Ovis aries: one gene and its partners. The protein of the gene in region 7 binds, or shares a complex with, the protein of the main gene of each other region. Links are inferred from orthologs where the notes say so. Each region holds a gene or a part of one and is shown on either strand. Other genes may lie near its edges. The genes, in order: ERCC2, DNAAF10, UBTF, POLR1C, POLR1B, RUVBL2 and POLR2E.

Region 1 (3,584 bases), on a different chromosome or scaffold from region 7:
TGGGCTTCCTGCGCCGCCTGTTGGAGTACGTCAAGTGGCGCCTGCGGGTGCAGCATGTGGTCCAGGAGAGCCCGCCCGCCTTCCTCAGCGGCCTGGCCCAGCGCGTCTGCATCCAGCGCAAGCCCCTCAGGTGCGGCTGCCGCGGGGGCTGGGCGTGGGAGGGGTCCCGGTGGGGATGTGGGGTGGGCGCCCTTGTCAGTAGCCATGATCAGAGAACTGACCTCGGGAAGTGTGATGGAAGACTGTGTGCAGAGGGAGGGGGGCGGCGGCGAGACCCCAGGGCCCTGGCCAGTGCTCAGGGGTGTTCTCACTCCAGGCCATGGAGGGAGTGGCCCTGGAGAGGGGCTCCTGATGAGGGCCAGCGGGATGGGAGCTGGGAGAAAATGCTGTGGGCCCCTCACTCCCTGTTTCCTCCTGCCAGGGCCTCTCATTGCCCCCCAGCCCCTGGGCAGGAGCCAGCCCCTCAGGTGCAGTCTGGGGGCAGGGCCAGTGATGAGGGGCTCTGGAGTGGGGGTGGAGCTTCCTCTGCTTTTCCTTTGTGCTGTGGATCAGTCTTTGGTCTTCTCTGAACCTCAGTTTTCCTCCTCTGTGCAAGGGGTAGGGGGTCAGCCCCTTTACCCCCAGGTTCCTGTGGTGGTTTAATGACAAAGCAGCGACCCCAGGAACCCACCCCGTCTAGAGCACTGATGACAAGCCGAGTGCTTCGCAGTCCACGGCCCGGGGACACAACACGGAGTTCCCGCCTTGTGCTGCCGATGAGGACGCTGTGTCCCGTGGAGGGGAAGCCTCCCGGCACTGTGTGTGGTTGTGACCAGAAGCCCTGCCGGTGGGGCTCTGAGGCTCCTGGCTGCTCTGCCTCTGAGGAGGTGGGAGCCCTTGGTGCGGCTTCACCCTTCTTCCCTCACGAGAGACTTGTGAGGACAGAGGGGATCTGAGTCACAGGGTCCGTGTTCCGAGGGCCTGCTCTGTGCTGGGGACACAGCAATGATGGAGACGGCCCTGGCCCTGCCCTCCTGGGCTCACAGTCCAGTTGGGGAGACAGACCTTTCCCAGACAGGGTCAGTCCAGGGCTCAGGGTGGGGGGGTGTCCTGGAGGCTGCAGGAACACAGGGGCCGTCTGATCGAGCCTGGGGGATAGGCAGACTGGAAGAAAGGACATACAGGAGACAGGTTTTATTCACTTTATTTCTTATTTTTCTTGGGCACACTGCTCGGCATGTGGGATCTAGTTCCCTGACCAGGGCTTGAACCTGGGCCCCCTGCATTGGGTGTCTTAACCACTGGCCCACCAGGGAAGTCCCAGGAGGCAGGTTTTAAACTTGACTGTCTGCCTGGCGCCAAAGCTGGGTGCTCCCGCTCCACACACGGCCTGTCCCTGCCTCAAGCTGGGTGGCCTTGCTTGTGTGCCGTTGGTAGAGCCTGTGTCAGGCTCAGTGAGGGAGGAGCCGTCACCGAGGCCATCATCTGGGAGCGTGCGGAACTCTAACGCTGTGTCACTGAGGACTGTGGCCGAGACTGACCTTGTGGAGATCCGGGCGGGAGTGTGTGACCCTGTGGCCGTGTGGCGTTCACGTGCTGACCGTGGGATGCTGGGGGTGGTCGTGGGTCGCCCCTTTTGATTGAGAACCTGTGTATGAGAGCGTTACCTCATGTGACAGGACTGTGTGGCTCTGGAGTGTTAGTCGCTCAGTCATGTCTGACTCTGTGCTACCCCCTGGACTGTAGCCCACCAGGCTCCTCTGTCCATGGGATTCTCCAGGCGAGAATACTGGAGTGGATTGCCATGCCCTTCTCCAGGGAGTCTTCCTGACCCAGGAAGGGTCTCCTGCCTTACAGGCAGATTCCTCACAGTCTAAGAATTTGGGCGGTGACTCTGGGTTGTGAGATTATTGCTCTGTGTGCCCTCCTGTGGCTGTGCCCCCCGTGATGGGCAGTGGTACAAGGTGGGGACACAGAGTGACCCAGACCCTGACCTCCCGGAGCTGCCAGGTGGCTGGGGAGACGGCATGTGAGCACGTGCTCTGACGGTGACGAGGGGGCTATCCAGCCTGCAGCCACCACCTCCCTCACCTGCCCGCCCCCCACCCCACCAGGTTCTGCGCCGAGCGCCTCCGCTCCCTCTTGCACACCTTGGAGATCTCGGACCTCACTGACTTCTCCCCACTTACCCTCCTCGCTAACTTCGCCACGCTTGTCAGTACCTACGCGAAGGGTAAGCTCGCCTCTTCCTGCCTCTGCCGGCCCCCAGCAGCTGGAATTGGGATCCGGCAGGGCCTAGAGGGTAGCCCCTGGGAGAGTACCCAGAGGGTAGCCCAGCCTCTGAAGTTTGGACTTTATTTATTTGTTTTAAAATTTATTAGCCACGCCGGTCTTAGTTGTGACGTGCAGGATCTTTAGTTGCGGCATGTGGGATCTAGTTCCCTGACCAGGGATCAAACCCAGGCCCCCGGTGTTGGGAGTGCAGGGTTTTAGCCCCTGGACCACCAGGGAAGTGCTCTGGGCCTTATTTTGAGGGCAGTGGGGAGCCACAAACAGCCCTTGAGTGAGTGAGCCTTGTGCTCAGGAGGGTATTTTTAAAGGCTCTCTCTGGCTGCAGATGGAGGTGGGTGGGGGTGGGCAGTGGCGTGAGGAGAGGAAGGAGAGAATCTGCGGGGTCCGCTCACCCTGGGGGGCATGTGGGGGGGGGTGGTCATTCTCCCAGCGGCACTGGGGAGCCATGGCAGGTTCTGAACAGGGAGAGGTAGGGGCAGATTGCGCTTTAGAGGATTCTTCTGGCAGAGGCTGGGCCAGGACGGGGTGGGGTGCTAGAGAGAGTCGTGGGAGGTCAAGAGGCCGCGACTTGGTGCCTGGTCGTGCGGGGCCTTGGGGGGAGGACGCTCAGATTTCCAGCCTGCTGGGAGGGTACAGGGGAGCATTCTGCCCCCAACTCATCAGCTTTAAGCTGCCAAGGGCTCAGTCTCATCCCCGGGGATTACTCCTCTATCCAGCAAACTAGGTCAGCCTGTCTGACGGCCCGCGGGCGGGCCTGGCCTTGGCAGGAAGATAGCCCGTCCCCACCCCAGCGCCGATGGGCAGCAAGTGTCACTGGAATCTTCTTTCTGCCTCTGTCCCTCTGTCCATCCCATCCTCCTCCTTGGTCTGTCCGTCCTCCTCTCTTCCCCACTTCTCCATCTACCGACACCTCACATTCTTGTACCTGGAACAGCTTTCCCCATCTTCCCAACTGTCTTCCCTGTCACCCCTCAGTTCTTGGCTCAGGAGAGACGTCTCCTCCTCCTCCAGGAAGCCCCTCTGGCTCCGAGGCTGGGCCAGGCCCTCTCCTTTAGGCTCCCCTGTCCCAGCCTTCCCACTCAGAGTGGTCACTCTGGAGACAGCTCTGTGTCCCTATCCTTGGACTGTGAGTCCTGAGAGGGCGAGGCCAGGGTTGTCTCGGTCACTGCTGTGTTCCCAGTCCTGGGCTTGGCACAGAGGACATGATGATATTTTTAAAAACATCTTTGCGAAGTGAAATTGATTATGCGGATGCGTTCATTCATTTATTTGCTCAATAAATGGGCCAGGCCCAGCCCTGGGGAGATGGCAGG
Region 2 (4,117 bases), on a different chromosome or scaffold from region 7:
TTTCCTAAAAAGTAACACTAAAATATAGTATCTGTACTACAGCAAGTACTTCGGCTGCTCATTTACATACTTCTATTGACGATAACCTCTTTATTAACCCTTTAATCAATCAACACAGAACACTTTAAAATGTGCTGAAACGCAGCTGGTAGTTTAGTTTAGTTTCAGGTCAAACTGGAAGAAACTCATTCAACAAGGTAAGTCCCACTAAGAATTCCTAGAAAGTCTGTTCTTTCTTCCTAGGACAGAAAAACCTCGGCATATTTTAAAGTGGTTAATAGTCTCCTTACTCTGATTTCAACATTCCTCGATTTCAAGTTAAAGCGTATCTGAAGTCCCAAATGCTCCACAATAGGAGTAAATATCTTCAGCCAGTTCTCTTTTAGTGGCGTGTATCTGTTAGCTGGGACTGGAATTTTCCTGGTTTCTTCTTTCCCATTCTACGACAAAAGAAAACACAACTCAGCAGTTGTTTAAAGGAATGAGGGTGAAGTTGTAACGACAACTGATCCTCAAAAAGCCTCCTTTAATTGGACAGATTAAACACCAGGAGAGTCGCCGCTCTGAGCTTCACTCCAGAAAAAGCGTCATCACCCAGAGGCCACCGGGCCGACCCGTCTCTGGCCCCAGCCCCGTTCCTGTTCCTCGGTCCCAGCCAGTACCAGGAACCCGTCCCCGGAGAGGGGCGGGAAGACGGGCCTCTTAGCGGGTCGAGCTTCCTCGGTGTCCATGCAGGTCGCGTCGCCTCCCTCCTCCGGCGTGGACGGCTGCTCAGCCTGCCGTTTCTTCGCCCGCCGGCCACCTTTGCGGGTGACCTGACTGAAGCCGTCCTCGGCCAACGGGCTCTGTGCCTCCATCACGCTTTCCATTCTCCAGAGCCTCCAGCCCCAACCTCAGCTTCCAGCTTCAACACGTGCGAGGCTGTACCGCGCAGGCGCGCCTCACAGGCCCCCAACCTCCGCCAACCAGCCCCAGGGCTCCGCCCTCTTTCCTAAGACGTCCCATGCGGGGGACCTAAAGCGGGAGTTTCTGCGTGTTTGTTGGTGAGGAGGGAGGGCTGTCCTAAAATATGCCTGATTCTTAGGTTCGCCCTCTGCCCACACCTCTCGCAGTCAGCGCGCTTTATAACCCATAATCTGTATCTGTACGAAAGGCACTAGGTAAAGCCATAACAAGTTTGTGTTGTTGGGGAAGGAAACTCTTGTGGGCCTGCACTAGAGCATCCGGCATTATCTGAGAAACCTAAAACTGCTTGTTAGGTTTCTAGGGGCGCCTACGGCAGGCGGGAGGGACAAACTATCCGTAACGTTTGGACTCTGGTTTCCAGGTTTGTTTCGTCAGGGTTTGTTGGCTGTGTCCCGCTTGGCGGAGGCGAAATCTCTCGGCTGGACCATGTCGGCCTTTGAGAAGCCTCAGATCATCTCGCATATCCAGAAGAGCCTCAATTACACGGTGTTTGACTGTAAGTGGATGCCCTGCAGCGCCAAATTTGTGACCATGGGCAACTTCGCACGGGGCACCGGCGTCATTCAGCTGTACGAGATCCAGCAAGGGGACCTAAAGCTGCTGCGGGAGGTGGGTGCCGGGTCGAGACCTCCCAGTTCCAAAATCTGGGACTGCTCCTGGAGGGGAGTGCGGATCTTGGGGGCGGGAGTTCTGCGTTCCTTTTTGCCAAAGCCTTTGTCCAGCGTCCCCCCAAAGCGGTGCTGAAACTGCGCGGGAGTAGCGAATCTGACCGCAGACTGAGGAATAATTCCGACGTAAAACGCTTTCGTTCGAGACCTGAATTCTCATCGGGCTAATTCATTCCTGCTTTGCTGGTCCCTTCCTCCAGCCATCCCCACCCTTCTCCCAGTCCAGTGCGAGGTCCCTGGAGGTGACGTTATAACTTCACGTTTAAATTCGAGGCGTTTCTGGGCAGTGCGCATTTGTTTGTGGAGAGTCTTTTTTTCTTTTTATTTTTTGAATGTTATTTTTAATATAAATTTATTTATTTTAATTAGAGGCTAATTACTTTACAATATTGTATTGGTTTTGCCATACATCAACATGAATCCGCCACGGGTGTACACGTGTTCCCCATCCTGAACCCCCCTCCCACCTCCCTCCCCGTACCATCCCTCTCGGTCATCCCAGTGCACTAGCCCCAAGCATCCTGTATCATGCATGGAACCTGGACTGGCGATTCGTTTCATATATGATATTATACATCTTTCAATGCCATTCTCCCAAATCATCCCACCCTCTCCCTCTCCCACAGAGTCCAAAAGACTGTTCTATACATCTGTGTCTCTTGCTGTCTCGCATACAGAGTTATCGTTACCATCTTTCTAAATTCCATATATATGCGTTAGTATACTGTATTGATGTTTTTCTTTCCGGCTTACTTCACTGTGTATAATAGGCTCCAGTTTCATCCACCTTATCAGAACTGATTCAAATGTATTCTTTTTAATGGCTGAGTAATACTCCATTGTGTATATGTACCACAGCTTTCTTATCCATTCATCTGCTGATGGACATCTAGGTTGCTTCCATGTCCTGGCTATTATAAACAGTGCTGCGATGAACATTGGGGTACACGTGTCTCTTTCAATTCTGGTTTCCTCGGTGTGTATGCCCAGCAGTGGGATTGCTGGGTCATAAGGCAGTTCTTGGAGAAGGCAGTGGCACCCCGCTCCAGTACTCTTGCCTGGAAAATCCCATGGGTGGAGAAGCCTGGAAGGCTGCAGTCCATGGGGTCGAGAAGTGTGGGACACAACTGAGCGACTTCCCTTTCACTTTTCACTTTCATGCATTGGAGAAGGAAATGGCAACCCACTCCAGTGTTCTTGCCTGGAGAATCCCAGGGATGGGGGAGCCTGGTGGGCTTCCATCTATGGGGTCACACAGAGTTGGACACGACTGAAGCGACTTAGCAGTACCAGAAGGCAGTTCTATTTCCAGTTTTTTAAGGAATCTCCACACTGTTCTCCATAGTGGCTGTACTAGTTTGCATTCCCACCAACAGTGTAAGAGGGTTCCCTTTTCTCCACACCTTCTCCAGCATTTATTGCTTATAGACTTTTGGATCGCAGCCATTCTGACTGGCGTGAAATGGTACCTCATTGTGGTTTTGATTTACATTTCTCTGATAATGAGTGATGTTGAGCATCTTTTCATGTGTTTGTTAGCCATCTGTATGTCTTCTTTGGAAAAATGTCTGTTTAGTTCTTTGGCCCATTTTTTGATTGGGTCGTTTATTTTTCTGGAATTGAGCTGCAAGAGTTGCTTGTATATTTTTGAGATTAGTTCTTTATCTGTGGAGAGTCTTTTAATGGGTCCAAGATAGTAAAATACTTGGTCATACAAGCAGAGCCAAAGCAGGCACTAGGATGCCTACTATGTAATTGGAGGAGACAATCCAAAACAATTATTCTTTCAACAAGTGTCAGTTGATTGCCTGGTATTCTCCAGCTAGTAAATGACAGACAATGTCCCTGATTACTATGGAGTTTTTTTTTCCTAGTGGGAGAGAGAATCAATTAAATAATCAAACTAACAATACATAAAACACAAACTGAGATGAATTCTCTAATGTAAAGGCACATGGTTCTATGAGAGTAAAAACAAAACCAGAAAACCAGATTTGCATTGAGTAAAAGCTAAGTAGGTCAAATTAGGAGTTGAGATTTCCAAGAGGAAACAGCTCAGCAATGAGGGAGAGAGATTATCTCCTTTTGGAACAAAACAGCAGAGAGGAGGCCTTGCAAATGCTGTAGATCATTTAAAAGATTTGTGCCTGTTTTTGTAAGAAAAATGGGACTTCAGTGAAGGGCTTTATGCAGGGTGTGGCAAGGTTAGGTTTACAAGTTTTGTAAAGATTACACTAATGGAAGAATTGGAGAATAAGGATATTAACTAACATTTTTATATCTGTTTACTAGTTTTTAAATGCCTTTAGAGCACTCCAGGACTCTTGCCTGGAAAATCCCATGGACGGAGGAGCCTGGTAGGCTGCAGTCCATGGGGTCGCTGGGAGTCGGACACGACTGAGTGACTTCATTTTCACTTTTCACTTTCATGCATTGGAGAAGGAAATGGCAACCCACTCCAGTGTTCTTGCCTGGAGAATCCC
Region 3 (3,584 bases), on a different chromosome or scaffold from region 7:
TCCACCCGGAGATGAGTAACCTGGACCTGACCAAGATTCTGTCCAAGAAATACAAGGAACTGCCGGAGAAGAAGAAGGTGGGGGGCGGGGGGCTAAGGTGCAGAGGGAAGAGGTGGGGAGAAGCTGGTATGGTGTAGGTTATCTGGCTCAGGGGGTAGGGGGGCAGCAAGGGTTTAGACCGAGGGACCTGGTGTCAGGGGCGTGGGTGGGTCAGCAGAGTAGAGGAGGGCCTTGGGGAGCGCACCTGATCATCGCCTCCTGGGCCCACACACCCTCAGGTGTTGGCACTGCTACAGATGTAACCACGACCAAGACAGACACTATAACACACGTCCTCTTTCACACACATGTCCTCACTGTTAGGCTTGCACATTCACGTCTGACGTTTCCCCACATGGTCTCACTTGATGCTCATAGAGGTAACTCCAGGAGACTGAGTGGTCTGAATTTTGCGGTCAGAGGAACTGGGGTGCAGGAGGGCATCGTGTCCCAGGACCATGGTTTAGTGCCTGGGCTCTCTGCCTAGCCCTCTTCTCTAGGCAGGTAACGGGTGCGTCCCCAGGTTACATGGACTTCCTCCCCCTTACACATATTGTCCTTTGTGGCCCCGTGCTGTCCCAGATTGTCAAGCCCATTAACCTTGGGTAGAGGCTGCCCCAGCCTCCCAGGCAGGGGTGGACATGGTCAACACAGTGAGGTTGTGTGGTCCCTGGGAGAAACAGGCAGCACAGCATCGGAGGAGCCTGCAGGTAGGACAACAGTGAGAGGCGGTGGGCAGAAAGAGACGCACAGAGGAGATACTGCCTGGTGAGATGGAGCCAGGGAGAGATGCTAGCGAGGGGCAGCAGAAGAGACAAGAAGGCACACTTGCTGGAGAGGAGACAGTGTAGGCAGCTGGCTCTCGGGAGGGCACCAGCCCTGGGAGCAGCCCTTGTCCCAGTTTGCACACCCTGGCTTCGGGCTCACATGGCCTGGTCTTGTACCCAAAAAAAGGAGCTCGCTTGACTGGGTCCATCCAGCTGTCTGCAGCTGCTGCCTGAACCAAGCTGGAGTACGAATTGCTGGAGCTATTCTTGACCCCTCTGATGGGGCTGTTGCAGAGCTGACTGTATACACACTGCCCAGATGTTCCCATGGGGTGAGAGGGAGAGGCAGAGGGTCTCAGGACCAGGGCGGGACAGAGGAAACTCCGAGGTACAGTGGACAGAGTGCTGGCCTAGGGGACACACTGAGCCTGTTCCCCTGAACTGCCACTGCATCACCGTACATGTGCCCTTTGGTAAGTCATTTCCATCTTCTGGGCCTGGTCTTGATCTGAGGCGTGGAGGTTGAGCCTGATCTGGGTGGTGCCTTCTGGCTCTGAAAGCTGCTGTTTCTGTGAGAGGAGAGCTGAGACTGGGGCGAAGGAGGCAGGGCTCTGCTCTCGGTTTTTTTGTGGAAACCTCAGAGGGAAGCAGAACGGCCTTGCTTCTCGCACCTGATGAGAGGCAGAGGTTGGGCTCAAGTAGCATGTGTCCCTGGCCTCCTCCAGCGCTATTCTGGTTGTGAATCTGGGAAGAAGAGGGAGAAAGGAAAGAGGGACGTTGAACTGGGGCCAGGAGGGGAGGTAGACGAAGAAGGGAAAGAGACAGGCTGGAAAAGAAGTCCAAGAGGGAGGGGTGCAGGGAGGCAGGAAGGATGCAGGGATAGAGATGGGATGGTGGGAAGGGGGGACCAGGGTGAGAGAAGGAAGGGGCTGGGGGAGGGATGGCGCAGGGAGCCAAGAACCTGGAAGAAGGGATCGGAGGCAGGGAAAGTGGTCATGACTGAGGGTTGTGGCGGGGATGGTGTCAGGATCGCCAAGGACAACCAGGGACCCAAAGATAGAGGATTGGAGGTGGGGGGAAATCCAGCTTCAGAAGACAAGAATTCACTCTGGGATGCAGTCAGTTAAGTCTCTCTCCTCAGTGCCTTAGAAGTGGGACTCAGCCTGCCCCCAGCCCTGTGGGCCACCTGAGAGGGCACACTAGTATTAGCTGCCACAGACAGAGGAGGAGCGAGCGACAGGCAAGGCCTATGCCCTCCCTGACTCCCTCCCTGGGGGTTTCCTTGGTGTTGGGGAAAGGCAGAGGGGGACTATCTCGGGGAATCCCAGTGCTGTCCCTGCTTAGTGAATGACTGGGTAATGCCATGTGGCCACCCCACCTCCACCCCCATCCTGGGACTCTCCCTTTCTTAAAGTGAGGGGATGGGATGTGTTCTGGGAGACCCCTGTAGGTCCTAGTGTCAGCTACAGAGTCCCCCCCCCCCCACCCGCCACCAACCCACCAGAAGGCAGGCCACCATCTTCCCTTCCCCCACCCCCCTACTCAGGACATTCTCCATACACATCACTGACAGGGAGGCAAAATAGGTAGCAAGGAGGACTTGGTGGGGTTTGTGGCTCAGCTCTTGGGTCATGGATGACCCCATCGCCTCCTCCCCCCAGATGAAATATATTCAGGACTTCCAGAGGGAGAAACAGGAGTTTGAGCGAAACCTCGCCCGATTCAGGTAAGGCAGTGGAGCCCAGAGGAGGCCACAGGGTGCTGGGTGTGGCAGGAGAGGGGATTAGAGCCTGGCGCTCAACACCCATGAGGCATGGAAGATGGATGGGTCACTTGTTGACCGTAGTGGTTCACATTCAGGGGCAGAGACTGGCAGCTAACCACTGGTCCACTAGGCCCCAGCTGATGGGCTGAGGAGCCTTAGCGAGTGGGGCAGCTAGCCAGGGTCTGCCCTGGCAGGACCCCCATCCCCAACCACTGACTGTCGCTCCCCGCGCCCTGGCTAGGGAGGATCACCCAGACCTAATCCAGAATGCCAAGAAGTCGGACATCCCCGAGAAGCCCAAAACCCCCCAGCAGCTGTGGTACACCCACGAGAAGAAGGTGTATCTCAAAGTGCGGCCAGATGTGAGTGTCCGGCCAAGGGGTGGCGGGGAGGGCGCACGGTGGTGGCAAGGGGGGAGCCGCGGCAGGTCGGCCGGGCATGGTGCAGGGGAGCAGGAGAGGAGGCCCCTCCCCAGGGGTGGGCTGCATGGACAGGGCCTGGGCCAGCTGGCGTGTGCGTGCGTGCGTGTGCGTGTGTGAGCCTGTCCCCTCGCACCCAGGCGGGACCCTCCGCCTCTCTGCCTTCCCCTCCTGGCCCGTGGGGGACACTCTTGTGACCTCCTGTGGCCTGAGGGGGCGGGGGCCTCTGTGTCCCCCTCCCCTTCCCCTTCCCCCTCCCCCTGGCTGCCTGTGTGTGTCTGACGGCTTTTGGTTTGCAGGCCACTACGAAGGAGGTGAAGGACTCCCTGGGGAAGCAGTGGTCTCAGCTCTCGGACAAAAAGAGGCTGAAATGGATTCATAAGGCCCTGGAGCAGCGGAAGGAGTACGAGGTTAGGCTTCCGCTGCGCTCCTCCCCGTCCGGCTCTTCACGAGCCTCTGCCCTCTGACTCTGCAGCCTCCGCGTTCTGCGGGAGGCAGTCACTGCCCATCCCGTCACTGAGGGAGGGGCCTTCTGGGCCCCTCACCTCTGCCCCTACCTTCCCTGCCCCCCCTGCCCCCCCCAACATGAGATCT
Region 4 (4,211 bases), on a different chromosome or scaffold from region 7:
GGCCAAGCATGCGCAATAAAGGTTCTATACAACCTGGTGTTTCACTCCAAGGGAAAATTAAAGGGGGGAAAGCTCTTAGTGTGGTGGCTTTAGGAGACAGATGCACAAGAGAAGCTGTTATAACCACCCATCCTCCCAATAATAAATAGACCGTCCCTAATCAAATAAGTCAAGTGGGCCTTAAGAAGCATTACTATGAGCAAGGCTAGTGGAGGTGATGGAATTCCAGTTGAACTATTTAAAAGCCTAAAAGATGATGCTGTTAAAGTACAGCACTCAATATGCCAGCAAATTTGGAAAAACTAAGCAGTGACCACAAGACTGGAAAAGGTCAGTTTTCATTCCAATCCCAAAGAAAGGCAATGCCAAACAATGTCCAAACTACTGCACAACTGCAGTCGTTTCACATGCCAGCAAAATTATGCTCAAAATTCCCCAAGCTAGGCTTCAATGGTATGTGAACCAAGAACTTCCAGATGTTCAAGCTGGATTTAGAAAAGGCAGAGGAACTAGAGGCCAAATTGCCAACATCCTCTGGATCATAGAAAAAGCAAGAGAAGTCCAGAAAAACATTTACTTCTGCTTCAATGAGTAAGCTAAAGCCTTTGACTGTGTGGATCACAACTGTGGAAAATTAAAGAGATGAGAATACCAGACCACATTGCCTGCCTCCTGAAAAACCTGTATGCAGATCCAGAAGCAACAGTCAGAACTGGAGATGGAACAATGGACTGGTTCAAAATTGGGGAAGGAGGACGTCAAGGCTGTGTATTGTCACCCTGCTTATTTAACTTATATGCAGAGTACTAGATGAAGCACAAGCTGCAGTCAAGATTGCTGGGAGAAATATCAATAACCTCAGATACGTAGGTGACACGATCCTAACGGCAGAAACCGAAGAGGAACTAAACAGCCTCTTGATGAAAGTGAAAGAGAAGAGTGAAAAAGCTGGCTTAAAACTCAACATTCAAAAAACTAAGATCATGGCATCTGAACCATCATTTCATGACAGACAAACGGGGAAAAAATGGTAACAGTGACAGACTTCATTTTCTTGGGCTCCAAAGTTACTGCAGACGGTGACTGCAGCCTTGAAAGACACTTGCTCCTTGGAAGAAAAGCTATGACAAAGCTAGACAGCACATTAAAAAGCAGAGACATCACTTTGCTGACAAAGGTCCATATAGTCACAGCTATGGTTTTTCCAGTAGCCGTGCATGGATGTGAGAGAAAGCTGAGTGCCAAAGAATTGATGCCTTCGAATTGTGGTGCTGGAGAAGACTCTTGAGAGTTCCTTAGACAACAAGGAAGATCAAATGATCAAACCAGTCAATCCTAGAAGAAATAAACCCTGAACATTCATTGAAGGACTGAGGCTGAAGCTGAAGCTCCAATACTTTGGCCACGCAATGCCAAGAGCTGACTCACTGCAAACGAGTGATGCTGGGAAAGATTGAGGGCAAGAGGAGAAGTGGGTGACAGAGGATGAGATGGTTGGATGGTATCACTGACTCAATGGACATGAGTTTGAGCAAACTCCAGGAGATACTGAACGACAGGGAAGCTTGTCGTGCTGCATTCCCTGGGGTCACAAAGTCAGACCCAACTGAGCAACTGAAGAACAACAACAAAGAAACCTGCACCCATTCAAGGAATTAAAATAATGGAGTGGGGCTAGAAAGACCCTCAGGTGGTCTCCTCACTCGTGTGGACACTCGTATTCTTCTGTGAGTGCCTGCTTTCCCTTCTCCTTAATAAATTGCTTCTTTGTTCTCTCTACACCTCAGTTTCTCTGTGTGACATTTTTTTGCACTTTGGACAGGTAGAATAAGAACCTGGACCTTTACTTTAGCATGTCCCACATCACAAGTATGGCAGGAGACAGACGGGCTCCAGCTGAGGAATTTCCTATCAGCCTCCTGTTTGCCCTCCAGAAACGAAGAGAGAACAGAAACAGAGTCAACAGTCTTTGTCTCTAGTAAATATCTTGAAGAAATAATTATAGCAAGAACAAAGCAAGGCGAAATCCCTCGTCTGAGTAAGGATTAAGGGATCTCCGCTTCCCCCTTTTTAGGATAAGGAAGATACATCACAAGTGCAGAAAGGCTACTTGGGGTCAAAAGTCAGAGGATAATTCAGGCCATAACGAGTCTTGCTCTTCCCAGAAGCCTTCACTTCCAGATCCATCTTGGCTAAGAGGTGAGTGTGCATCCCATGGGAGGGTCCTGCCCGTGTGCCTTTCTACATGTACTTCTCTTTTCAATCAACTTCGTACTTTACTCTGTACCTTCTGCCTCCTCGCCTGAATTCGTTCTTGACTAGGCAGACAAGGACTAGGGACTCTAGCCCTAACTGCTGGCTCCTGTGGTCGTAGTTAGGACTACCGGTGGGGGAAGCTACAACCCCGCTTCCAGCTACCGCCCTCTGCCCCTTGCTGCAAGCTGCCCTTTTCTGCTGCGCCTTGGAAATTACAAGGACAGCTTCTAAGGCACAGGTTGCTCATATCACAAAGTCCGATCCCACAGTTCCAGCTCCACCTACCTTCTCAAAGCGGTCCTGGTCCCAGGCATCATCGTAGCCGCAATAGTTACCGGGAAAGTCAGTGGTATGAACCTAGAGCAAAGAGAGACGAGAATGTCTGCGAAGGGGCAGCGAGGCCAAGCCCGTCCCCACTCTGACGCCAACTCATCCCTGATTCACTCTGCTCCCGAGCTGAAGGCCACAAGACTTACATTGCGAACCCCAAACTCCCCTAGAACCACGCGGGTCCTCATTTCCTCCACAGCCTGGGCCGCCGCCATCTTCAACTCCTCCACGTGACCAGAGTACCTAACTGATGCGTGCGCACTAGTCGTCCGCCTCCGTTTCTGTAGCAACGCACCTCCTAGAATCTTAAATATCGCGAGACTGTGCCTTGCCTCCGTCCACGTCCCCAGCTACCGGAAGTTGGTTTGAGCCAAACATCCGGGTTTCTCCTTTTTTTGCATTCCGACCCATAGTACCTTTCTTTCTTGTCCCTAGACCTGTCCCTTTCTCAGGCCCGCATCTCTCCCACTCCTCCTCCGCGCGCGGGACAAGCACGGGCTTCAGCGACGGGAGCCCTCGAGGGACATGGCAACTCCGGCGGCGCCGGCTGGCGGCGCCCGAAACGGGACCGGCCCGGAATGGGGAGGGTTCGAAGAAAACATCCAGGTAATGGCCCCACGGCTCCGGCTGCCCGCAGCCCCTGGGCCGGCAGCCGCCCTGAACTCTCCCTCAGAGCCTGGAAGTCTGGTCCATTTGCAACACTTTTTATCTTCTTTTGAGTCTTCGTGCACAAGAAAGGCAGTGGGGCTAGTGCTGGTCTTAAAGCTCCAGACTGGTACTCCAGCCAGGGGCCTTAGGTATCTGGGCCCAATTGCTCTTGCTTTCCACAAGTTTAGGAAAGTCAGTCGGAGACAGGCATGGCGGGAGTGGGCTTGGGGGTGGATGGGATTCACTAGCCAAAACCACACTTGGTGCGCATAGCCTTGTTTTGGGGTTGGGAGAGATGAAGGAAATGGGCACTTTGCAGCCCTTTGGGGCCTTGGTAGGGAAGGTAGGAAAAAGCCGTGTATGGAAGACAGGGACTAGGTTCCCCAGACTAGAACAGAGCACCAAACAAGCAGGGGTTCTGAGACCAAATGAGGAGAAGAGAGTGGCGTCATCTGTGGCGATTTCAAGTCCCCTAGCCCCAAACCTTGTGGTGAACGGAGAAGGACTCAACTGGACGAAGCAGAAAGGTCCTGCACTCTAGGGTCTGTTGTCTTCACAGGGTGGGGGCTCAGCAGTGATTGACATGGAGAACATGGATGATACCTCAGGCTCCAGCTTCGAGGACATGGGTGAGCTGCATCAGCGCCTGCGTGAGGAAGAAGTGGATGCTGATGCAGCTGCTGCTGAAGAAGAGGATGGGGAGTTCCTGGGGATGAAGGGCTTTAAGGGACAGCTGAGCCGGCAGGTGGCTGATCAGGTAAGCACAGTTGGCTCCCTGACAGGTGGAAAAGTATACCGAGGAGACCTCTGGTTCTGGAGTTGGTGAAGTCCACCCCAGGTTGTCCAGTTCACACCATTTTGAAATCAGATAAAAAATAAGTAACATAGAGCCAAGAGTTTGACAGCACCCTTTCACCCCACCCATCTTCCTTGCTATAGATGTGGCAGGCAGGGAAGAGACAAGCCTCCAGAGCCTT
Region 5 (4,293 bases), on a different chromosome or scaffold from region 7:
ACCAGGGAAGCCCCTAGAGTGTTCTTTTTCATACACTGTCTCATCTGAGACTTGTTATGAAGCCTACACAGAGCATAGACAAGACATCAAGGCCCCTGTTACCTATCTAGAAATTAAAGCAGAGTAAGAAAACTGAACTCCCTGACAAGCTTTCTGTTCTCACACTCCCAGTTCTGGCCCTTTCTACTGTCACCAGGTCTTTCAGGGCACGGCTCCCCTGTGGGTACCTCTGCTTCCTCATGGTGCTCGATGAGGGCTTTTGGAGGAAGGCTGTATAAGTTGCAAAGCTTGGATTTCACCATGATGGGAACGTAGCCCAGAAACTGCTTAATGACTCCTTTTGAGATTCCATTCACTGACCAGCTGATATCGGCCTAAGTGAAAATGAGAGAGAGAAAAAAGTTAAAAAAAAAAGTGGGGGACTATCTAGATCTGTAGGAATAAATGAGTATTCTAGGGGAGGGAGACAGAGGGATGGACTGGGACTTTGGGGTTGGTAGATGGAAGCTATTACAGTTAGAATGGATAAACAACAAGGTCCTACACAGGGAACTATATTCAATATCCTGTGATAAACCACAATAGAATACTGAAAAAAAAAAGTATATAAAAAAAGAATAGATGAGTATTTTAAAAGATTAAGGCAGAGGACCATAAACTAAATGATTTTATGCTTTAGGTTTAAAAGATGGGATCTCTCGGACGACAGCACTGAGAAAGCCAAATTCTGGTATAAACCGTATTAGGCACTGGGCTTATTCAAAAAAAATGTACAGTGTGTGAGTCGCATGCTGTCACTCATACTCACTGTCAGCTTTCCCCGGTAGGTGCTCCTCCGGCCTCGGCACTCTGCTGGATAAACGTTGAGCTCTTTGCAGATGCTCCCTTTGGGAACGGCTGGAGGACTGATGACGGCATCCACAATGGTGAGAGAGATCCGCTCATCTTTGAAAGCAAATTCAAAGGGAGGGACGGCCTGAAATACAGTTGAGACAGTCAACCGCTTGCACTTGCAAGGCACTTTCTCTCAGACTCTTTCAAATTTCAGGTGTTCTACAAGCACTGATGGCTATCATCCTAATGCAACACATCTAAAAAGAGCCAGCACTACATCTGGGCTACTCCTGTCCTAAGTACCTAAAACAGCATTAAGAAGACTTTCTGGTCTACTCACTGTTGGATTCTATAATAGGTTCTAGGGATACAGCTGTTTACGGACAAAGCTGTCCTCTGAACCAAGTACCTGACTTCAGTAGTGTGTATATGTTAATCCCAAACTCCTAATTTATTTCTGCTTCACATTTTACCTTGTACTCTCTTTGTGCATATGTTGTTGTTCAGTTGCTAAGCAGTGTCCAACTCTTTGCGACCCCATGGATTGTAGTCCCGTCAAGCTCTTCCTCAAGAATACTGGAGTGGGTTGCCATTCCCTTCTCCAGGGGATCTTCCTGACCCAGGGGATGAACCTGGGTCTCCTGCATTGCAGATTCTTTACCGTCTGAGCTACCAGAGAACCCATTTTAGCGGAAAGATTCCTTGATCATCTCAACGCTGGACTCTTTTTCATTGTTTTAATAAATCCCAGGGTCAATTAACTTATAAGCAGATTTACAATTTTTCTCATAGACATGATACAATGAGTCCAGGCACGATAGAAATTATTTCCCATCAGACAAAAATATCTCATCTTTTGCAAACGGGTGAAGCAGTATTAATCTTCGAAGAAGCCTCGATGGTTCCCCCATTATTTGCAGAAGAGAGTTCAAGCATCAGAAACTGGCTCAGCTTTCAACATTCTCTCCACCCCTCCTGCAGAACAAGCCCTACCCAACAAAAGCAGAGGGTAGAGACCCCTGAGCTCTGCTCCTGCACTCCCCCTGGAGGGAACGTACTCTTCTCTTGGATTCATGAGGTCCTGCCCTGGGTTAGCTGCACCTCCCTCCTCTGTGCCCCCGCACATAGCCCCTTGGCAAGAGAATTGCTCCAGAGTACTGGCACTGACTGCCTTCACAGCTCCACCTGCTGCTGCTGCTAAGTCGCTTCAGCCGTGCCGACTCTGTGCGACCCGATAGACTGCAGCCCACTCCATCCCGTCCCTGGGATTCTCGAGGCAAGAATACTGGCGTGGGTTGCCATTTCCTTCTCCATCACAGCTCCACCACCTCCACCCAAAACAAGATAGCAAGCAAGAACTCTCTCTTACATAGGTCTGCCTCTCCCTCACTGTCAGAGCCCAGTGCCCGGAGACACCGGGATGCTTACTAAATGAGACCCTACCCCATTATTTTAACCTGAAGCCTGCTACCATCACCCTCTAGACCAATCACTTTAGTATGGAGTAAATGTTACCTAATGACGTTACCAATCTCTTAAGGAGGACCAAAGGTTTCCCACTGAATCTCGCTTTAATGACTCACTGGCACCTTCCTCGACATAGCCCGGCGCTGGGCCTGTGCCCAACTCCCCCGTCTCCTGGATCCCTCCTCCCCTCTTCCAGGCCCCAAGCCTCACTCACCTCTCCCTCTTCCTTCTCCAGCGCCTCACACACCCCGCACCCCATCCGCCGTGCCGCCAGGCCCCTTTGCTTCACCCGCCTGTAGCAGGGGCTAGAGGCGCCGGAGAACCCAAAATTGAGGAACGGCTGGGAGGAGGCCAAGCTCACCTGCACCGCGTGGCTGAGCCCCTCGCTCACAGCGTAGTTGAAAGACTCGACATGCGCCCGCGTCAGCTCCTGCAACGCTGGCTTTTGCTGCTCCCGCGGGATCCCGTAAGACGAGTCGGTCAAGTGCTTTAGGCTGGGCCCACTGGGCAGGTTTCGCCACCGGCCGCCGGGATCCATGAGTTTGCCAGCACACCGGGCGCCAGGGACTGCTCCACACGCGCCGGAAACACCACCCGGCGCCCAGCACCCATGACCTGCTGGGAAATGTAGTTCCTCTTGGTCTGCCGGCCCTGGGTCCTCAGATTTTACAGGGTCGACTAGAAACTAATACTTGGAGCAAGTGGGCCCGTTCAAAATCCTGCAGAGTCGGAGAGCGGCGGATCGGCTCCGTCTCCTCTCTTCCGGTGTCCACCCCTGTAGATCTCCGTTCTCCACTCACAAAGGGGAAGTCCGCTCCACGGCCAATTCCGCCTGTGAAATCTCCATCTTTCATTTGCGGTTTAGGACCGGCGGAGAGTGATGTTCAAAGATTTCCTTCTCTTTCCTTGACGACTTTGCGATCCAATATTGATGCAGACTCTCGGGGTGACACCCAACCAGAGTTCTGGCTTCAAGGAAAAAGCAGTTAGGCACCAAACCGACTGCCCTCTACCCAGACCAGGGTAAGGGGTTAAGTCGGGAAGGTTCATCACTGGGACCGTCTAGCGGTGGTCCTACCCCCATTAGCCCCTCCCCGCGTCGTCTAGACTCGAGTCTTGAGCGGGAGCCGGCAACGTGTGTGCAGGCGGGCGTCCTAGCCCTAATATCCTTTAGTTATTTAGTCGCTAAGTCATGTTCAGCTCCTTGCGACCCCATGGACTCTAGCCCTCTAGGCTCCTCTGTCCATGGGATTGCCCGGGCAAGAACACTGGAGTGGGTTGCCATTCCCTTCTCCAGGGGATCTTTCCCAACCCAGGGATCCGGGGATCTTAGTTCCCTGACCAGGGATCAAACCTGTGCCCCCTGCAGTGGAAATGCAGACTCTTAACCACTGGACCTCCAGGGATACTTTGAGTCTAAATCCTATACTCCATTCATCTCCCCAGAAAACGATTTATCGGAGACTGTCTGCAGCTGTCTTTCAGCGTAATCTTTCCTGTGTATGTGCGTTTAACAGCTCTATCCTGTACGCGGTATAACTGACACACGATAAACTACACCTGCTTAAAGGGTACGCGCTGGTAAGTTTTGACCTAGGTATGTGCCTCCTGGGCTTCCGTGATGAAGCTATCATCACGATTAAGATAATGAACTCATTCACCACTTAAGAGAAATGTCCACCTGACGCAATTCCACCTTTACCTAGGTCCGGTGGTAATTCTCATTCCTGTATCAATTTTAAAAATTATCCTCTGTTTCTTTCTTATGTTTACACCATCAAATCTCCCAAGATGTGTGCAGCTGTGACCTAAATTCTGCCTTCTCTTCCTTTACAGCGACTGCTACTTTTAGGAAAAACTCTCTTCCTCTATTCCCTCTCTCTTGGCCAGGAAGGTAGGAGAATGAGGGGATTATGACAGGTGCAACCATTTCCATCAGCATACAAACTTGCTGGAAAAGCTGTTAGAAGACAGCTCGCTGATCTCTTTCTT
Region 6 (3,584 bases), on a different chromosome or scaffold from region 7:
GTGGAAATAGACTTAAAGTGAATAACTGCGGTCAACTGCACTTTTAGCACTTGTAACAGCCTCCTAAATTAGTCTTATCTATTGGCAATTAAATTTTGAATTTTAAAAACACGGTAGAAAAAAAAACAATGTGGAAGAGTCTAAGTATAGGGAAAGCTATTTCCCAGATAGTTCTTTAAATTAGAGTTTAAAGAGGTTACAGAAGAAATCCATGGATATACCCTCATCAAAATGAACAACCGGGGACTTCCTGGTGGTCCAGTGGCTGGGACTCTATGCTTCCAATGCAGGGGGCCTGGGTTCGATCCCTGGCCAGGGAATTAAGATCCGCATGCCCCGGCCAAGACCCAGCACAGCCAAAAAGAAAAACTGAAAATGAACAACCAAAACTCCCTTTAACTCCCTCCCCAAACCCACTTGCCACCTCTCCCTACAAAGGGAGCATCTCACTATGGAAACAACTCCAGGAAACAGGTGAGACAGGATATGCTGGGAAAAGCCCAGACTTGGTGACTGTTTACCTTGGGGGGTGTTGTTGGTGGGGGGGTGGTGACATTTTGTTTTCTTAGCTTATCTGGTGGGGAGGGTGTATGACATTTTGTTTTCTTAGCTTATCTCTTGGGGATGGGGTGTGGCATTTTTGTTGTCTTAGCTGTGTTTAGCTGTGTTCTTCTGGGTATGTGGTTAACAAAAGACCACCTTTTATTTGGGTATGAAAAACAAATTTTAGAGTGGGACCCGCCCCCTTGACCCTTCGGTGGGACCTCAGGTGCCTGTTGTTTTTACAGATTTTCTCTTTTAGGCTTTTGTTTCTCTTTGGGGGGCAGGGGCAGTGCTCACGGCGTGTGGGATCTCAGCTCCTCAACCAGGATCAAACCCATGCCTCCTGCACGGGAAGTGTGGCGTTTTAACCACTGGACCACCAGGGAAGTCCCTGTTTGTTCCTTTACTGGTTTTAATTTATTTATTTAGGCTAAGCCAGGTCTTAGTTGTGGCATATGGGATCTAGTTCTCTGACCAGGGATCGAACCTGGGCCCCCTGCATTAAGAGTACAGAGTCTTATCCGCTGGATTTCCAGGCAAGTCCCCTTTACTGGATTTTTAAAGCTTTATTAAGGCGCAACTGACCTCCAATAAGCCATGCCCCAGAAAGTTTTCAGGATTTTAGGTTTTGACATACACATAGCCACAAAGCTGTCACCGAGGCTGTGACAGTGCATATCTTCATCAAGCCCCCAGCACTGCCCCATGTCATGCTGGTTCTGAAGCTGTGCTGGGGAGACATCAGGGCCCCCTCTAAACCCCTTACCTGTCACCCCTCAGGGCTCCAAAGTCGGCAAGCTGACCCTCAAGACCACAGAGATGGAGACCATATATGACCTGGGCACCAAGATGATCGAGTCCCTGACCAAGGACAAGGTCCAGGCCGGGTGAGCAGTGGGGGCCACACCGGTGGCCAGGGTAGGGGAGCTCCGGCCCTTCCCGTCCTCACCCCTGCCCGCCTTCCCCTGCAGGGACGTGATCACCATCGACAAGGCCACAGGCAAGATCTCCAAGCTGGGACGCTCTTTCACACGGGCTCGCGACTATGACGCCATGGGCTCCCAGGTGGGCAGGGCTCCTGGGTCCCCTCGCTCAGGCACCAGCACGTTTCTCTCTCCCCCCTGCCCCTGGCGTCTGCAGGGTCCAGACCCTCCTGTCATCCCAGCCCTGTGTCCCTGGCCCTCCTGGTGCCTCCCCATACCCTCCAGAACAGCCAGGGGTTTCTGGGGTCCTCCAGGAACCCCTGTATCCTTCAGTGCTCTGGGCTGCCCTAGTCTTTACCCCTCAGGCCTGGGGTTTCTGCATCACCCCCATCTGGATTCCTAGCTCCATTCCAGGGAGCCCGTCTCCCCTCGACAGCCCCCGGGGCCCCCGCTTCATGCTCTTTTCTGCCCTTGTCTACCCCGCCCCGGCCCCACAGACCAAGTTCGTGCAGTGCCCAGACGGGGAGCTGCAGAAGCGCAAGGAGGTGGTGCACACGGTGTCTCTCCACGAGATCGACGTCATCAACTCCCGCACCCAGGGCTTCCTGGCCCTCTTCTCAGGTGAGGCCCACCTGGGCCACCCGCGCCGGGAGGCTCCCTCCCCGCCCCGCCCCGCCCCGCCGTGCACCAGGACGGCCTGGCGTTTCCCCTCTCCGCCATCCCTCTTGCCGTCTTCCGCTCTTCACCTGTGGTTTGGCTCGTCTGTTGCCTCTCTGGGACGTCTCTGAGTCCCCGGCCACTGTCACGTCGCCACTCCAGCTCGCTCTCTGTGTCTCCGGCGTCCTGTCTCTCTCTGCCTTCGTCCACTGCCCTCCCCGACCCCCGGCCCTGGATCCCTTCTCCTCTCTGACACCCTGCCTCCCACAGGCGACACAGGGGAGATCAAGTCCGAAGTCCGAGAGCAGATCAACGCCAAGGTGGCCGAGTGGCGGGAGGAGGGCAAGGCAGAGATTATCCCTGGCGTGAGTACCCGGGCCAGGCCAGGTTGGGGGGCGCGGGAGAAGAGAGGCGTGGGACGTGGGCTTGATACCTGCCCAACGGCCCCCAGGTGCTGTTCATCGACGAGGTCCACATGCTGGACATTGAGAGCTTCTCCTTCCTCAACCGAGCCCTGGAGAGTGACATGGCGCCTGTCCTCATCATGGCTACCAACCGCGGCATCACCCGGTAAGCCCCGCTGGCCCCTGAGGAGGCCCCTGGGAGAACAGGGAGCAAGTCGCTTATGCCTCACTGCTGAATAGAAATAAAGGGAACGCAGCTTAGTATTTCTCTTGATCTAAGGATACAGTGGAAAAACCCCTGAGGCAGGAAGAGTAGCAGATACCACAAAACTTGGGAACCTCTGCCATAGGGTTTTGCTGTGCCCGGTTCTGCCTGCTGGCTCTTCCTCACCTCATCTTCAAAAGTCCACAGGAAGTGAGAAGGAAGCAGGGGACGAAGAGCTCATGCGAGCCGGGGGCCTGAAGGCTGCACCCAGCACAGCCGCTGCCCTGGGCTGCTCAGGGGCATGACTACGGCCTTTTGCCAGCTGAAGCACAGGGAAGAAAGGGGCGACTACCAGGGATAATGGGCAGGTTGTCCCTGGCTTTTGGCTCAGCCTTTCCTCAAAAGGAGCTCAGGAGCTAGATACCGTCTCAGCCCCATTCCGTTCCATTCCTCTTGCCGCCAAACACGTACTGCAGGGCCTGTGGGATCTTAGTTCACCAACCAGGGATCTAACCCACGCCCCCTGCGTTGGAAGCTTGGAGTCTTAATCACTGGACCACCAGGGAAGCCCCTTATCTTACTAATTTTATTTTTTGGCCATGCCGCATGGCTTGCCACATCTTAGTTTCCCAACCAGGACTCAAACCTGTGCCCCCTGCAGTGGAAGCATGGAGTCCTAACCACTGGCCCACCTAGGAATTCCCTCGGCCCTGTTTTCAAGATGGGGGATAGCAAGGCCCGGTGACTTGCCCTGGGTCACATGTGGAAGGCAGCAGGCTGGAGTTTGGTGTCCAAATGAGCGTGTTTGTAGCAGCTGCAGGTCAGGCCATGGGATCGGGGGCATCACCTGTG
Region 7 (4,277 bases):
TAACCACATCTCTTTGCCTTCTGCCGTTTCCTCCCCTCCTCCCAGCTTCAGGGCTCAGGCCTGACTTCTGATGCGCTCTGTGACCTCATCAGCCTCTCAACTCCAGTCTGCACTGTGCGCCCACAACATCCACATCAGCCTCCACTCCAAGCTCATCCTGAGTTCCAGGCTTGTGCCCTACTGTCCCCTGGATGCTCCCCGTAGGGTCCCCCAGGAGTCCCAAGCTCACCATATCCAAGATCTGCTCCAGATCTGCCTTCTATGCCTCCCCACCGAGGTCTGTTCTTCCTCCTCTGCTTGTCTCTGTGTCTTTCCACATCCTGTCCACCTACAGATCCTATGAGCGCTGCCTTCTGGACACCCTAGACCTGCCCACAGCTCATCCTTCACTTGAGGCCTCATCTATCTCTGGCCGGGACGGTCCTCCCTAGCCCACTCCTTGGTCTCCCTGTTTCTGCCCTGTGGAGATGCTGAAAATGGCTGCAAGCACAAACTTCTCAAACCCAACCAGCAAGGGCTCCCAAGATCTGCCCCACCTGACCCTCTGACCCACAGGCCTCCTTGCTGCCAACATGCTAGGCCTCAGGGCCTTTGCACATGCTGTACCCTCTACCTGATACACTTTCCTCGACATCCCCAGGGCTTCTACCCTCTCACCCTTTGGATTTTTGTTGGAACCTTCCATGACCACATTTGAGACTTCTCTATTTTTTCTTCCACAGCACTGTCTCCTTCTAACACGCTGTATCATTTACTTATGTCCGCTGTTTCTGTCCTGTCTCTCCCTGGCATGTAAGGATGCTTGGTCTGTTTTGTTCCCCGTCTCTTTGGCTCCTCATTAAATACTGAATCATTGAATTAATATATTACTGAATGAGAAGTTACTGACACAAGTAAGCTGGGCTGAGCAGGCCTGAACAAACCTCCTGAACGAACTCGGAGGGGAAGGGCCGATGCAGAGGTTGTGCACTCTTGGGGTATCCAGGCAGGGGCTGGGCTGGGGCTCAGCTGCATTTTGTAAGCACCAGGAACTATACCAAGCTCCTCCCAAGTACGAGCATCTCTTTAGATCCTCTAAAATGGGGGACACTTTATTCTTTTCATTATACAAAACGGAAAACCGAGGCTCCGCTCACACTTCCTCAATCTCTCCAGATTCTAAACACTGTCCAGACTGACGTTGAGCAAAAACCACCACTCCCGAGAAGCCGTGCCGTCAAAGCATCGCGAGAACTTCCGAGGGGCGGGTGGGCGGTGCTGTTTGAAAGCTGCTCGCGCAACCAACCGCCGCTTTAGGAAGGCTAGGGCTGCCCTTGGCAGTGCCGCTCCCGAAGGTCGCTGTATTCAGGCGTTCGCCTGCGACAGCCCTGCACGGGTAGACGACGTGTTGGGGGCCTGATCAGGACTCGGAGTAGGCACTGTGGGCCCTGGTCGTGCTGGTCGCAGGCGCAGTGTGTGAGAGCGGCGGGAATCATGGACGATGAGGAGGAGACATACCGGCTGTGGAAGATCCGCAAGACCATCATGCAGGTGAGCCGCGCGGAGGCAGCCCTCCTTGGAGAACGCGGTGAGGGCGTGCCTGGCTGCGCCAGACGAACTGGGCACGTGGCGGCCGAGGCGTGAACGGCGGGTGCTAGGGCCCGTTGATGAGGACGAGCCTCTTCACCCGCGGCGGCGCGGCTGGAGCGGAGGAGTCGAGCCCCAGAGCCCCCAGAGAAGGGGGTCAGGATCTCGCTCGAGCTGGAGAGAGGGAAGGCGGGAGACGCTGGGCCGCCTTGTATTTGTGTTTCTGGAGGGTTGTGGTGTTACAGCCCCTGATCCTTGAAGTTCTTAATCAGTAAGAATTGATAACAGGCCAGACTAGAAGGTCAGGCAAGGCTTTGTTGGAGCTTATGCTGCAGCAGGAGGGAGCGAAAACAAGCAACAGGCGCCCTTCTTAGGTCGTCTTGAATGGGATAATGGGATGAGGGTGGGCGCGGGTCCAGGGGTCATGCCAGAGTGATGATTCGGGTGGTCTGCCTACCCTCTGGGTGGTGCTGTGTGCAGGGATCAGGCCTGGCACCCAGCTTTTGCTCCGGCACCTCAGAAGTGGAGGTTTTGACTTTCTGTTGTTGTCTATCATTTGCTCGAGCTGGGCAATTGCACGGTTATTTTTAGTCCCGCATGGTTTCTGGGTATTCTGTTGCTGGAGAAGATGTTTGTCCAAGTGCAGGCGCTGCCGCAAAGGGTCCCAGCTCCCAGCCTGTCTTATCAGCACCACCGTAAGTGCATAACGCAGAATCCCGGGTTCTTGACGGTGGAAGGAACCCTGGTGGGCTGGTCTGACTGCTGTCTGGTGGTTACTTAGATGCCTTGCCCACCAACTCAGTCTCAGTGTCACAGCAGTCACACCAGCTTTTTCTGTGTACCACATGCTTTAAGCCACCATGTGAGAGGGGTCCAGTGTGATGCCACAAAGACTTGGGGCCTTGATCAAGAGCACCCAGCCTCCTGGGAATTGTGCTGGAGCTAAGGCTGGGCTATGACCCAGCCTCTTCAACACTTGGCAGAGCTACTCAAGACAGGGCGGGAGCAGCTGCGCTTCTACCTGATGGTGTCGGGGCTGCGGGAGAGGAGACCCAGGTCTCTGAATGGAGACTCGGCGGGGGGTGGGGGATGTGGGCAGGGCTGGGTGGCAGCTCCAACCTTCCTTTGTCTGGGTCCTCACCTAGTCTGTGTGCTCACAGAGCCCTAGTTTCTGAGCAGGACCTTGAACTGCTGGGCCTCAGGCTTTTGCCTGGTTTCACAGCCAACACCCGCCCAGCCTGCTGTACCTGTCAGACCTACGCCCTGGGGCCTGACTCTGGACTCAACATCTCCGCTTGCATCCCAGGCCTTTCCCCAGTCTCCTCTGCGGTGGGTGAGGCCACCGGAGCTCTGGCTGCTGTCCTATCTCCACTGTGCGATCGATCACCTGCCCTTTCTCTCTGCAGCTGTGCCATGACCGTGGTTACCTGGTGACCCAGGACGAGCTGGACCAGACTCTGGAGGAGTTCAAGGCCCAGTTTGGGGACAAGCCCAGTGAAGGGCGGCCAAGGCGCACGGACCTCACGGTGCTGGTGGCCCACAACGACGACCCTACTGACCAGATGTTCGTCTTCTTCCCAGGTGAGGGCTGCTCAGGGCCAGCTCACAGCAGCCACCTGCTGTGCGCCCCAGAGTCATGCACCCACCCTTATCCTTCTGTCCCCTGCCCTCCTTGCTCTGGGAACCCCTTCTCCAGCTTCCCTCTTCTCGATCACCCATCCATTCTCTCTGGGCCTAAAGATCACATTTCCAAATACAGTTTCATTCTGAGATTCCAGGGCCAGGACCCCAACAGAGGGACTTTGAGGGCAGAGTGGGTTAGTGGAATGGGAAGTGAGAGCAGCTGGAAGGGGCGGACATACTGCACACAGACCCTGGGGCTGCCCTAGGTGCTGACCTGCTGGGCTCCTAGGGTCCGGCTGTTCTGTGGCAGGCCCTGCATGCTGCCAAGACCATGAGGACCCCCAGTGCTACGGCATGGAGATGGGTGGTCTGTGTCTGGCAGGACCATACTCTCTGGGTCAGCTCACCTCAGCTTACCTCTGAGAACCCCAGCCCTTGTCTCATGAACTCCAAGACTAAACCAAATCCAGGGCTTCCCAAACCTCAGAGCCACTGAGCCCTGGCCAAGCCCAGACTCCCAGACCCCACTTCCAGAAGAGGTCCCTGAGGTCCAGGGCACCCAGGGCACTTGTCAGCTCCCATGTGACCTGGAGGCAGCCAGCTCCCCCATTCTGGGAACCAGCTGCCCAGTTCTTGCTTTGCACACGGGGAGGCTGAGGCCCAAGAGTGGGAGTGGCACCGCAGTGCCTTGGCAGAGCCAGGCTAGAACCTGGGTGCCCGATGGGAAGGGGCCCTGCAGCACTGATCAGCCTGTGCTCTGCCTGCAGAGGAGCCCAAGGTGGGCATCAAGACCATCAAGGTGTACTGTCAGCGCATGCAGGAGGAGAACATCACACGTGCCCTCATTGTGGTGCAGCAGGGCATGACGCCCTCTGCCAAGCAGGTAAGCCTGCCCCGCCAGGGTGGGATGGAGCCTGGCCAGCACCTCTGTCCCCAGGCCCGGGGACCGGCTGCCACACTAGCTCCCAGCCACCCTGGGAGCATCCTGACAGGTACTTACCTTTCTTGATGTGAGATGAAGGCCTTATTACTGCTGAGAGCCTGGGCGGAGTTGGGTGGGGTTTCCCAATTTATGATGCGCGATGTCT

Evidence for each region.
Region 1: POLR2E (region 7) and ERCC2 share a complex: the UniProt entries of both Homo sapiens proteins name them as parts of the TBP-based Pol II pre-initiation complex. The link is inferred for Ovis aries from reciprocal best matches to the Homo sapiens genes POLR2E and ERCC2.
Region 2: POLR2E (region 7) and DNAAF10 share a complex: the UniProt entries of both Homo sapiens proteins name them as parts of the PAQosome complex. The link is inferred for Ovis aries from reciprocal best matches to the Homo sapiens genes POLR2E and DNAAF10.
Region 3: POLR2E (region 7) and UBTF share a complex: the UniProt entries of both Homo sapiens proteins name them as parts of the pol I pre-initiation complex. The link is inferred for Ovis aries from reciprocal best matches to the Homo sapiens genes POLR2E and UBTF.
Region 4: POLR2E (region 7) and POLR1C share a complex: the UniProt entries of both Homo sapiens proteins name them as parts of the pol I pre-initiation complex. The link is inferred for Ovis aries from reciprocal best matches to the Homo sapiens genes POLR2E and POLR1C.
Region 5: POLR2E (region 7) and POLR1B share a complex: the UniProt entries of both Homo sapiens proteins name them as parts of the pol I pre-initiation complex. The link is inferred for Ovis aries from reciprocal best matches to the Homo sapiens genes POLR2E and POLR1B.
Region 6: POLR2E (region 7) and RUVBL2 share a complex: the UniProt entries of both Homo sapiens proteins name them as parts of the PAQosome complex. The link is inferred for Ovis aries from reciprocal best matches to the Homo sapiens genes POLR2E and RUVBL2.

Annotation. Positions count from the first base shown.
Region 1 is NC_056067.1:52,774,574-52,778,157, reverse strand, and holds part of ERCC2 (general transcription and DNA repair factor IIH helicase subunit XPD), read left to right. Parts: coding exon 1-130; intron 131-2,093; coding exon 2,094-2,212; intron 2,213-3,584. UniProt on the Homo sapiens protein: ATP-dependent 5'-3' DNA helicase. Component of the general transcription and DNA repair factor IIH (TFIIH) core complex, not absolutely essential for minimal transcription in vitro.
Region 2 is NC_056056.1:40,164,624-40,168,740, forward strand, and holds the start of DNAAF10 (dynein axonemal assembly factor 10), read left to right. Parts: upstream 1-1,293; 5' UTR 1,294-1,392; coding exon 1,393-1,575; intron 1,576-4,117. Other genes in the region: RNA-binding protein PNO1, read right to left, coding at 291-440, 663-869. UniProt on the Homo sapiens protein: Key assembly factor specifically required for the stability of axonemal dynein heavy chains in cytoplasm.
Region 3 is NC_056064.1:43,766,609-43,770,192, reverse strand, and holds part of UBTF (nucleolar transcription factor 1), read left to right. Parts: coding exon 1-77; intron 78-2,467; coding exon 2,468-2,532; intron 2,533-2,812; coding exon 2,813-2,933; intron 2,934-3,289; coding exon 3,290-3,400; intron 3,401-3,584. UniProt on the Homo sapiens protein: Recognizes the ribosomal RNA gene promoter and activates transcription mediated by RNA polymerase I (Pol I) through cooperative interactions with the transcription factor SL1/TIF-IB complex.
Region 4 is NC_056073.1:17,058,099-17,062,309, reverse strand, and holds the start of POLR1C (DNA-directed RNA polymerases I and III subunit RPAC1), read right to left. Parts: upstream 2,823-4,211; 5' UTR 2,802-2,822; coding exon 2,733-2,801; intron 2,614-2,732; coding exon 2,542-2,613; intron 1-2,541. Other genes in the region: protein YIPF3, read left to right, coding at 3,112-3,192, 3,794-3,991, 4,174-4,211. UniProt on the Homo sapiens protein: DNA-dependent RNA polymerase catalyzes the transcription of DNA into RNA using the four ribonucleoside triphosphates as substrates.
Region 5 is NC_056056.1:60,441,184-60,445,476, forward strand, and holds the start of POLR1B (DNA-directed RNA polymerase I subunit RPA2), read right to left. Parts: upstream 2,874-4,293; 5' UTR 2,840-2,873; coding exon 2,663-2,839; intron 977-2,662; coding exon 809-976; intron 375-808; coding exon 228-374; intron 1-227. UniProt on the Homo sapiens protein: Catalytic core component of RNA polymerase I (Pol I), a DNA-dependent RNA polymerase which synthesizes ribosomal RNA precursors using the four ribonucleoside triphosphates as substrates.
Region 6 is NC_056067.1:55,308,969-55,312,552, forward strand, and holds part of RUVBL2 (ruvB-like 2), read left to right. Parts: intron 1-1,323; coding exon 1,324-1,430; intron 1,431-1,514; coding exon 1,515-1,608; intron 1,609-1,963; coding exon 1,964-2,087; intron 2,088-2,393; coding exon 2,394-2,488; intron 2,489-2,574; coding exon 2,575-2,693; intron 2,694-3,584. UniProt on the Homo sapiens protein: Possesses single-stranded DNA-stimulated ATPase and ATP-dependent DNA helicase (5' to 3') activity; hexamerization is thought to be critical for ATP hydrolysis and adjacent subunits in the ring-like structure contribute to the ATPase activity.
Region 7 is NC_056058.1:41,257,636-41,261,912, reverse strand, and holds the start of POLR2E (DNA-directed RNA polymerases I, II, and III subunit RPABC1), read left to right. Parts: upstream 1-1,408; 5' UTR 1,409-1,473; coding exon 1,474-1,530; intron 1,531-2,972; coding exon 2,973-3,147; intron 3,148-3,956; coding exon 3,957-4,072; intron 4,073-4,277. UniProt on the Homo sapiens protein: DNA-dependent RNA polymerase catalyzes the transcription of DNA into RNA using the four ribonucleoside triphosphates as substrates.